Drosophila melanogaster: one gene and its partners. The protein of the gene in region 1 interacts with the protein of each later gene in a pairwise test. Each region holds a gene or a part of one and is shown in the gene's direction. Other genes may lie near its edges. The genes, in order: Nup133, Sap-r and slam.

Region 1 (3,754 bases):
CCCACCGAAGCTGCTCACTAGCCAGTCCTAAACTATCGATGGCCACGAAGACAGGCACCAGAAGTGCCACGATTCCGAACAGAGGCAGGAACAGGACGATTCCAGCCAAGCCGAGGGCTGCTCGCATCACTCCAAAAACGGTGGAACTCTGCGAGGTGGCTATGCACACTTGCAGCCAACTGAGCGTGACGCAGTGCGGGATGAGGAATGTGTAGACTCCATGCCAACGGGAGCGTTTGGCCATCATAATTAGCAGCACCGGAATAAAGAGATACAAGGCAGTGCGGCAATTCAAACAGAATTCAATGCCATTGCCAATGACAAACGATGAGAAAGTAGGTACGCGTAGGTCAAGAAAGCGCCAGCGCGTAGACACAACCTCGTCCATTTCGTACGGATATTTGGCAAGAACATTTACGGCAAAGGAAACAATCACTAGCCAGTCAGGCAGTTGGTGGGAGGAGGCGTACATGGACACGCACATGGTGATGAAGGTCAAGGCTCCAGAGATTATAGTCAGCTCCGAGTGTGGCAGCCAGGCGTCTGTGACCAACGGGTAGACAATCAGGTTGCAAATGAAGGCACAAAAGAAGTACAGGTACGGCTTCATATTGTTGCGTAAAAAGCGATGCTCCGCAATGTCCGCCTCGATGTTCTGATCCCCGTAGCTCAGGAACAGTCCCGACCAGATGCGAAAGTCCACGAACTGTTGTTTGGTTTTCAGCATCTTACACGTGGCCCAGATCATGATGCCCAGACTGAGATAATAGCTGACCAGGGGCAGCATATGCCGGCTGCTCCACCAAGAGATTGCAACGAGCACGCTGCAGCGCACGCTCAGAGGGATGACGTTGGGTATGGACACAATCAAGTTAAGCAGCCGGTGGTAGAACAGGGTGAAGAAGATAAGCGGGTGGAAGATCATGCGGTAGAAGCAGGGTACATGGTCCAAGCTCCTAGGATCCGGGACGGATAATGTGAGAGCATCATTAACGCTGGGCATTTGTCCGGCACTGTAATTGGAAGCTGCCGAAACGAGGTGAGCTTCGGTGATGAGGCGGCGTCGCTCCACATTGGCTAGGTCAATGGTGGGCACATCTTCGAGCGGTTCGCACTCCGGCTCCTGCTCGCCCTCGCTGCTCGACGAGGAGCGGTCATCATCGCGTCGACGCCGCTTGCGTTGCAGATTGTAGATGCGCCGCATTTTGCGCTCCAGCTGCTTGGGCGTTATATGCTCGTTTCCATTTGATAGGCAGGCAAAAAGCTCCCGGGCTGCTTTTCTGGCAGCCCGCTCACCAGGCGTCATAGCCAGGCAGCGACGCACTTCGTCCGTATTCTCTGCCGTAATACCGCTGCCATCGTTGTAGCACTGGCGTAGCAGCTTGACTGCATCCTCGTGTCCATTGTGTGCTGCACTCACCAGCCAGTTGACGGCCTTCTGGCTCTGATTGCCTTTGGCAAGATTGGGCTCTACTGCGGACATAGCAATCTTCATTATCTTGTAATTCTCGAGCAAATCCTTACACTCACCTATGGAATTATCGAGTAACTCTTTGGCCAGATCGTATTGCATCTGGGGGCATCCCTCCTCGGCGATGTGATGCTTAAGTTTGTTCAAGGAGGCACGATCTGTAAGGGAAAACATCTTCACTTTATGAACGTGTATCAATCAAAGCTCAGAGATTTACCTTCCAGATTCCAACGCCTGCGCTTGGTGACACCTGTCGGCTCATTTTGCGTCCAGGTGGCCATCTATGTCGAGTTTTTCGCTTTGTTTACGAAAATCTATGAAATAATTCTAGTCTTGACTTAGCGATGGCATCGTGTAGAACTTGTCTTAGAGATGGACTCACAAATATTAGTTAATATAATTATTAATTTAAAAATTTGTTTACCAAAGTTTAATTATTCATCGTATATAGTATATAAAATACATTTATGTAGTATAAATAATTTCCTATATTTAAATTTGTGTTCTTTGTGTATAATGTCGTGACTTCTAATCGATAAATAACTCAAATGTACTCAGCTGTGATTTCGATATTGCGACATCAAAAATCGATTCACACACATGCCGGCTAGATTGTTTGCTGTTGCAAAAGTAGTTGTTTATTTTTGATTTATAGGCATTTCCCAAATAAGAGCCAGCACAAAAATGGAGAGAAATCTGCAGAAGCAATTATACGGCATATCGCGCGAATCTTCACCAGGTGCACGAAGGTACAGCATGCCAGCAGCCTCGGCAGACAGCACGCGTAAATCAATTTTTGGCGGCAGCGCCAGTTGCGCCCAGATGTCGGGGAGCCTCAAAAGGACTGCCCTGACCAACAGGTATGTGCTAACTTATTCTCCTGGAATTTCCCACTCATCAAACAATCCTTTTCAGCCGGCTCAGCTTGTCGGTGCGTTCCACTCAGTCCATTGCCGGCATCCGATCCGATTACAATTCGGTAGAGAGCTTCGGTTGTCCACTGCCGGTGGTGGTCAATGAGGCACTAACCTTCGCAGGTCCAGGAGCGGGCACAGTAACAGCCAAAGTGACGCAAAACGGTTGGGCTTGGGTAATATATCAGCAACTCTCATTGTATCTGGTTCAGCAATCAGTACGATTACCTTTTCAGGTTGTCCAAGGCAGACGCCTCTTGATTTGGCAGTATAAGGACACGGCCAAGTCGGGCTCGCCACCTCGTGTGGGCAAACTGGCAAGACGTGGTGGTGGTCTGGCCCAGTGCCGTGAATTGACTTTACCTTACAGTGACCTGGGTCACAAGAGTGATTTAATCAGTGTTTTCCAGACGGAGGGTCAGCAAATGGCCTCCTGCATAGCGGTATCAGCCACGGGAGAAGTTCGGTACTGGTCATCGATTGCGCACGATGGGAACTCCGTGGATCTTTCCATCTTAACTGGCCAAGAGTTTGTCCAGCTGCTCAGTCTACCAACGCAGCAGGGCTACCTAGCCGTTACAACCACCTGCAATCTGGTATTCCTGCGAGTCGGACTGACCAACGGACGTTACACACTTCACCATAAGACTATCAAGCCTGCCACTAGCTTCCTTGGTGGTTTTGGCAAAAAGTTTGCCTCCATTTTGATTGGAATGAACACGGGTGCAGACAAGGATCAAGTAAGTATCTTCGTCCAGCATGGGACAAAAATCTCATGAAGTGTTTTTTAGACTTTGGTCGGCATGTGCTGCGAGAGCAATTTAGAAAGTGGAGAAACCATTGTGGCCGTGCTCTCTGATCGTGCAATCCAGCGCTGGAGTCTGTCCAACAATGGCAACACCGAAAACCTTCTGTACGAGGATGCGGATATGTTGCGCAGGATACGCGAAGAGTTTATAACGAACTTTTGGAAGTTCCGACTCCCAGCGGATAGTTTGGAGATCGATCTCCATCTGTTGGACTTTCACGTGGTTAAGAACAAAGCTTATATACTGGCTGGAGCTGTGAATGCTGCTCACGCTCCACAAATGTGCTACGCTCTGGGTAAGAAGTATGTGACAGCAAATCTTGATATGGTATATAATGTTAAGTATTTTAGTGACTGGCACTGCTCAAGCTGAAAGAATGCTTCTGGAATCGTTCACGCCGCTCAATATGAACAAATTCTTTAGTGCCAAGACTGAGGAGGATTGCCTCAGCGTGCGTTTTGTAGTAGGCAGCAGCCACATCTATTTGTATACTTCTAAAGTTGTGTATCCTCTGCACTTGACCAACTCGGTGCCGACAGCAGAGCTAGAGGCGGAAAAGA
Region 2 (3,754 bases), 8.2 Mb from region 1:
GGGGGTTTCGTTCGCTTATAGCCATTATAGACAGTATTTGAAGATTTGACTCACAAATTATGGCCAGCAGTTGTGGCTGAATTGATTAGCTGGCATTTGGCTGTGGCTAGCGGTCTTTTAGCCCCTCGATAAGGTCAAGTTCATTTCCGCATGGTGAGGCAGTAGTTAGTGAGCTACGTTCTCTGATCTCCGAAAAGCGACTACCCCAAAGTAACTGTTTCGGAGTTTCAGGCGGATTTCATGGATAGGGAAAGGGAAATTGCCCAAGAGGTCAGCCAAAGTGGCCATAAACAATTAGCCATTAGACGGGCCTTATGTGACGCACTTGGCAATCGCGGCAATTAGAGTTGTTACCAATCTCTCCGCGGGTCACTCAACACAAAATGTATCTCGAGCCTCGATTTTATCTGCCAGCGTGTGAACTGCCGGAAATTTCACTCTTGTGGATGGATGCATTTAATTCTTTCCGAACCTGATTTTTGACCAAGTTAATTGGGAGGGAATAAAAGGCGTACTTTGTACTTTGTCCGACTATAACTTGGCTTGGCTGAATTCAAAGACCCAAACAAGCAGTCGCTTCTAGAGTAAACAAATTTATGAATGACATAAAAAAGCGGATAAAAGCAGAAAATTATCTCGCTCTTGAAACTCCGAAATTAAACGTTAGTCCAATGATTTACTGCTTCACTTATAAGCGTGTTAATTGCCTAAATTTCCTTCACTGCTGAACTTGATTACTTGTTCTTTGGCGGCGGTCCACTCAATTGCCATAATATCAATCTCGCAGCCAGACTTCAAGTGTCAAGTGCAGTGTCTGGCTGCAATTAACCCTCTACTACCCCATGGTACCTCGCCTAAGGTCACATAAACCTTAAATTCAATTCCTATTTAATCGAGTGCAATTTAATATTTCCACAATTTTTGGTTCTAAGTACCAAGTATTTCAGCAAGGTCTCAGTGGGTTAATCTCCGTCAAAGAACCGAAATGCACGGCAGGCGTTGCAATCCACGGTCAACACGACAGGTTTCAGGTTTCCTTCTAAGCCCCTGAACAGCCAAATCGTTGGTTTTGACACAGATATAGCCATGTTATGGCCGTATTGGCCGGATCGGCGCTTGCATTTGGCATTTCGTTGGGCAAACACCACCAGATGACCTCGACTTTCAATCGCTGTGAGAATGTGTCTGGCATTCTTTGCGAATGTATCTTCAGACGATTCTCACACAGATCTTGATACGCACCTCGGAATCGAGAATTACACGCCGATAGGCATCGCGAGAAAAATCTACTAGCCGGCCATTACGAGTGAGATGCATTTTCCCCAACATTTATGCCTGCGAGCTTTACATCTGGGCAGGCTCACATCAATTAACCCGCAATTACAATAGAATTTAATCATGTGCCTGCCAGTTCACGTCGCACAGTTGGCCAAGTTGGCCAAAGGGGGGTTAAGCGATGGGGCTGGGCAAAAAGGGGCGTATTAATAACCGCGCTAAGTTCAAGAACATCGCTGATGGTTATTGTCATAGTTTCGTCGCGGCAATATGTAATTAAATCTGCGGATTGCAATCGATTATAAATACATTGTGAGGCATTTGCGGGTGGCGAAGGCTTTGTTTGTTGATTGAGTGAGTGATTTAATAAATTGTTCCGACTTTAGGAGCAATAATTTTCTTCTACGATAATTGAAGTTATAATTTGAAGGACAACGTATTCAAGTACTCCATGTACTTAACACCCTATAGAAAGGTGGCCCAAATCTAATAGTTTCATATCGGTTACTTAATTGTTTATTATACCATTTTAAGTTTAATGATTTGCTGACCCCATTTTATGATAGCTTCCTCGGAGGTTTTTATGGCTTTTTGAAAGGCAAAAACAGATCTCTGTTATTAACAGAGTGCGGTTCGAGTCCATGCTCCCCCCTGATTGCTAAGTATACACTGGGTTGGTTTTATGCTAAAAGCATTATCCAAGTCTTGCTCCATAAGTATCGTTAAATAAATTTAACAATAATTCAATCGCTGACTGGTCGCACTATTATATCGCTACGGTATATATTTGACGAAACAGACGGCGGCCACACTACAGACAAATAAAAAATTGAACCAATCGTTGCAATTGCACTTCAGTTTTCGTTCAGAAATAAATACGTAGCTGCAAATAGAGGACTATCTCCGCCGACATTTAAGAAGTACAGTTAAAACCGGGAAAATGGAGAGAGCAGGCCTCTTGGCCGTTTTGGCACTGTGCTGCGCCTTTGGTGAGTGGAGAAGAGATGGAGAGAAGTGCGAAAAGCGACGTTGAAAGGGAACCACAATAATAGTTTAGTCATAGCTTATTGCGTATTCGTGCTGTGCACTCTGTTCCTCAACCGTTGCTCTCTTTGTTTGTTTGCTTTCTTGCAGGCGTCTTCGCCGCTGCCACGCCCCTTTTGGGCTCCAGCAAGTGCACCTGGGGACCCTCCTACTGGTGCGGAAATTTCAGGTGAGTGCAAAAAAGTGGGTGATACAATAAACGGTATATTCGGATAAATCGCTTGGTCATCGAACACCACAAAGTTCTCGAAGGCGAAAAGCTAACCTCTCTTAACCCCCCTCCAAATAGCGATATTACTTCTCCGCCTCACTTGCCCATTGTTTGCAGCGAAGACTCGTCTGTTCTGTTTTGTTCTCGGCCGATAAGACTATCACTCGAATCGGGAATCGAATCACTTTGCTCTACATAGCTCTATTCGCCGATAACCCCTGTTATTGCAAACTTAACACTAGTGCCGCTCTAATTGCGTCCCCTTATTTTGCGTTGTATTGTTTTACAGACTCGATGTTTTCTCTGAGTGCACTTTTCGCAATACTCTCTGCCTTCATATCCCATATTTCTGGATTTCCTTTGTCTGCACATTCGCTGTACAAATCAAATTAACAGTACCGCCAGTCGGAACATTTAGACGGCAGAGTTAAGCGCTCGTAGGGGGCACAACTTTATCGACACCGATTATATGCATGAGTAATCCAGAGGAGCAGATCGTTTTGACACAGCTCCCTTTTCTGTGCACCGCCAAACAAACCACATGATTGCTTTGTTTATCATTGTTAATTCGCTGTAGGCGGCAACAGTTGTTCCTTATCAACGAATTCTGACTAATCCCTCAGGCGTATGATGAGTACAGGGGAACATCCGAAAGTGCAACTTCTAAGCCTTAACACAATCACAATGCACTTGAAACCCTTATCTTAGCCATACTCACAATTGTAAATTCCTCAATGGAGTGATATTACATTGCGGCCACAAAGGATCACCTTACAGAAGCTATACTGTACGTACATATGTATGTATGTTACACCAAGATAAACTTGAAAACATTTACATGGACTGCATCATTAATAGAGTAAAAGCGATCAATAGGCAACTGAAAACATTTGTTAAGCACCCATCCATCGCTTATCGCTAGTCGTAATTCCTTTGTTTATTGATTGATTTATTTTTAAATGGCCAGGAAAATCCGCCATTTCTGGCTCTTAACCGTTTCTTTGTTTCTCAATTGCAGAGTGTCAAAAATTAAAAACGTCGCCATTGCTGTTGAAAATTCAGAAAACAATATCTGTGAATGCGCAGCCAAGTGAATAATATATACGTGGATACGTCCAGATATATCATTCATACATATGTACTGTTTATTTCCGTGCTTATCAGTGCTGATTTTTTGCTATTTAGACGCTTTTGTTTGGTATTCCTGGCGATTCCACCGCAGGC
Region 3 (3,754 bases), on another chromosome or scaffold:
GTGTGCAACGTGATAGACAAGACATCGGTGAGCAGTAGATGCCCTTCCAGGATGTTCGCTGTCAGGCACTGAAAAAATAGGGGGGTAGGTACTCACACCTACGCAGAGGAAATAAAGAAAATGGGATGCTTCCTTCAGTCGAAATATTTAACAGTGTGAGCGAGAACCTTTTTAAAAGTACAAAATGTTTCGACTCTGTTTGTGCACCTTGAACTTTTGCCGATTTCCTCTGCCGAAGAGCTCACGTGTGCTTTTCCTTGCTTGCCCACGGTGCGTATGTGTTACCCGGCGTGCTTTTATTTATTTGCTAATTAACACCCATCCTGCGCGGAGCAGACGGCAGCCCAGAGGGCGACGACCATCCAGAATCCGACTTAGATTCCAAATCCCGGCCCCAAGTCGGTGGTTGCACTGTGCAACTTGTTGAAGGTCGTCGCGCAAATCGCTCATACGCCGCGTGGGTCTTGAAGGCGCGTGGCAAGCGGTCGGTTTCGCCTGGCAACCGCATTAATGGGCCATTAACAACCTGCCGGGATGATAGCGCGTGAGCCGCGTGTCAAACAGCGGTCAGCCCCAAATCGTGGTTGTTTCCGATGAATGGGCGACCGTACGTTTGTCTTTGCCCCACAAATGGACTAGAAACGGGAAACTTGAATTGATTCTGCGATAAAGAACGTATGCCTCGAGACACTCGAGCTACTCATGTGAAATGGGGTGTGGGGCTCAGTCATCTAAATCAATATTCTGCGGTTCCAATTTGGTATGTTTCAGATTATTTTCTAGTTTCTTGTGAGTCAGCAAAATGTAAAGGATAAACACATCTTTAGCAGTCTGAATTCCAGAGCTCATCCAACGCGGCTACATTATGCTGAGTGTGGGCTATTGCGATATGGCCAGCAGTTCCTCTTTCCGTCGAACGGCTTATCAGTGCTGAATTTCATTCATTCATGTAATTCAAAGCGGCTGTGCATTATATTTGGGCTGGCTTATAATTAGTTTTAAAATAAACCGCTTGGCCAGCGGAACGCGGAAAGCCGAGTGACGCAATCGGAGCAGCGAATTGCGAATGGTGTGGTGTTAGTCGGAAGCCAGCAACAAACTCGCTGCTTCTGATCGCCACGGCGGTGCTCCACTCGGCTCGGCTGAGGTTCGTTCCTTGACCCCCGGATTCCGGCGGTCTTGCCCGCCACTCGGGGTTCCATGTCACGTGCGCTCGCTCGGCGGAGTAAGTATGTATGTATGTATGTGGGTCTGTGCGGAATTGATTGATTTGCCAGCGAAGGTGGCGCACTGGAAGACAGACAGACAGACAGACTGACAGACGGACGGACGGACTGATAGGGCTGATGAAATTACAAGTCGCGCATCGTCATTCAGACCGATTGTGGGCATGTTATGCGAGTAAACGGATTTTGCGGCAATGAAATAATTGCCAACATTACAGAACTGGTAGTGTCTAATTAACCCGCACTGATAAAGCGGGGTACATGCCGCCGCTCAGATTTTCAAAATTGCATGGCCCTGCATTGAGTGCCCAAAATCTGAAACCAAATATTCGCGTTCCGGTGTCGCCGACAGAAGCGGTGGCTACTTAGCAAGTGGAACCACTGCGTCCCCGTCCATTCCAGTTGGATATGGAACGCCAGCCACATGAGTTTATCATAAAGCACCCACTAAATTTTTGCCGCTGCTGTTGGCGACCACAATGTTTGTAAATGTTTTTCACCGTCGAATGGTATTTCGGGGATTGCTTTGTTTGTCATTTGGGGTATTTGCCAACTGACCAACTACTGTCCATCTGAATGATTTTGGTGTGCCTCTTTTGGCTTAAATAGCAATATATTCAGATACCAATAAAGGCACGTCTGATAGAATTCAGGCCACGGGAGCAATCCGTTTGAATTTATCGTATCATTGAGTTGTAAGCCGTTTTGGCCGTTAATAGCCATCGAATTCTCATATCTTCACTGGTCTGCCTAGAATATAAGTTATTGACATTCTAATCATTTTCTTGAGCCCATGATGATATTTAAAGTCTAGATTAGTTTACGGTTTAAAAAGCACTGAGCTTTGATGCTGATTCAATCAGCTGATTCTTAATTCGTGGTGATTGGCTTTATTATCAGCTGTGATATTCCGTAAAGCCGGCAAATGAGCCCTTAGATCGATGTAAATGTACTATGTTATTTGGCGCAAATAACCACGCTTTTTCGCGGTCTTTTGTTTACAAAATTAATTTGTAATTTGTTTATGAAGTTGTGCGTGTTAAATACTGTGTTGCCTAAAGTAGATCATAGTTCAACAAGGAAATCCTTAACAAAGTAAGTTAACTAATTTATATAAATAGCCGGCCTGTTTTAGAAAGCCCAAAAAAGGGTTAGAGAACGCTTTTGTCTTGAAAATTTGGAATATTTGGAAAGTATACCCTTCCCATGTAAACAACTTCAGCTTTGTGATAAAAAAATAGGCACTCCGTTTTGCTAAAAGTAAAAAAGCGCATTAAAACCAAAAATTAAAGATAAAATCGTTAAATATCAGGCAGTTAAAAGATGTATCCCATTATGGAACTTATCATTGTAGCTCTGTAACTCATCAGCTCCAGCTCTGCCACCTGAGCATCCGCAAATCTCAGCCCCTGATTTCATTTTATGGCTCTGTCGGTGTGAAAGTCACTTTGTGGCAAACTGCAAGCAAAGTTCTGCTTATCCCTGGGGTCCTGAATTCGGTTCGTTTTCGCTCCAAATTTCAGCAATAGTCAGATGAAGAATTTTCAGTGTGTGATTTTTATTGTGGCTGCAATTCGCCTGGGTCTTGTTAACATTCGCATTTTTCTCGGAAAATTCGTTCGGTTGCAGTATAATGATGATGCTGGGAGTTGATTTCGCTGAGTTACTGCAATAATTGGAATTTAAATTTTAAGGACTTTCCGTCAGCTGTCTTTCGAGTGAATCCTCGGTTATCCCTTCTTTCCAGAACCTTACATTTTACATCTATTGCACAGCCCTAATATTACCTACCTGTTTTCTTTGTTTCAGGTCACCTGGATATATATTTATAGCGGAAAGGTTCGCGAAAATAATTAAATATCGGTTAGCGCGAGGAAAATCCATCGATCCGACAGCTGCGGCTGTTAATCTTACCTGATCGCTGCTAGTTGGATTAAGGAAAATCTGAGGCAGTGGGTGGGCAATAAAATCTGCACCCAATCCATATTTTACCTGATCATTGTATATAAGCTATTAGCAAAATGCCAGAAAGCCACAGTTACAAACTGAAACGTCTAACGTCAACAACAAGACAGCAAACTAATACCAAAATGGTCCTAAGCAATTCCACGCCGAACAACCAGTCCAAGCACAACCAGATGGTAGTGGACACGGCAGCCATGAACAGTGATGATCTCAGCGAGCTACTGCAGCTGAACGCGGAGATCGAGGAACGTCGTCGCTCCAGCCGCCACGGAGATGCCAGCACCGCCTGTGGCCTGCTCCGAGCTACGATGACCAGGGAGGAACTCTTCGAGATTTCCTCGCTGGATGATGATCGCTTCCTGACCGCCCTGGAGTACCAAAACTCGTTTGCATCACCGCGCCGAGTGCAGGTTACCGACCTGGACTTGTCCAGCATCGAGAATCTGATGAAGTACTTCGACGAAGAGGTACCTGTGACGCCAACAAAGACACTGGGTACCACCAAGGCAGCGGGTAACACGGGTAAAGTGGCCAGCACAATTGCCAAGTTGGCCCTCCAGTCG

What was found.
Region 2: the proteins of Nup133 (region 1) and Sap-r interact in a two-hybrid assay, tested with the Drosophila melanogaster proteins (one large-scale study listed by BioGRID).
Region 3: the proteins of Nup133 (region 1) and slam interact in a two-hybrid assay, tested with the Drosophila melanogaster proteins (one large-scale study listed by BioGRID).

Annotation. Positions count from the first base shown.
Region 1 is NT_033777.3:22,688,545-22,692,298, forward strand, and holds the start of Nup133 (nucleoporin 133kD), read left to right. Parts: upstream 1-2,062; 5' UTR 2,063-2,155; coding exon 2,156-2,331; intron 2,332-2,386; coding exon 2,387-2,561; intron 2,562-2,621; coding exon 2,622-3,125; intron 3,126-3,176; coding exon 3,177-3,489; intron 3,490-3,544; coding exon 3,545-3,754. Other genes in the region: wfs1 (wolfram syndrome 1), read right to left, coding at 1-1,473, 1,531-1,629, 1,689-1,752. UniProt on the Drosophila melanogaster protein: Probable component of the nuclear pore complex (NPC). Plays a role in NPC assembly and/or maintenance.
Region 2 is NT_033777.3:30,887,395-30,891,148, reverse strand, and holds the start of Sap-r (Saposin-related), read left to right. Parts: upstream 1-2,086; 5' UTR 2,087-2,215; coding exon 2,216-2,264; intron 2,265-2,322; exon of another isoform or gene 2,323-2,409; coding exon 2,410-2,488; intron 2,489-3,754.
Region 3 is NT_033779.5:6,370,261-6,374,014, forward strand, and holds the start of slam (slow as molasses), read left to right. Parts: upstream 1-2,127; 5' UTR 2,128-2,321; intron 2,322-3,035; 5' UTR 3,036-3,316; coding exon 3,317-3,754.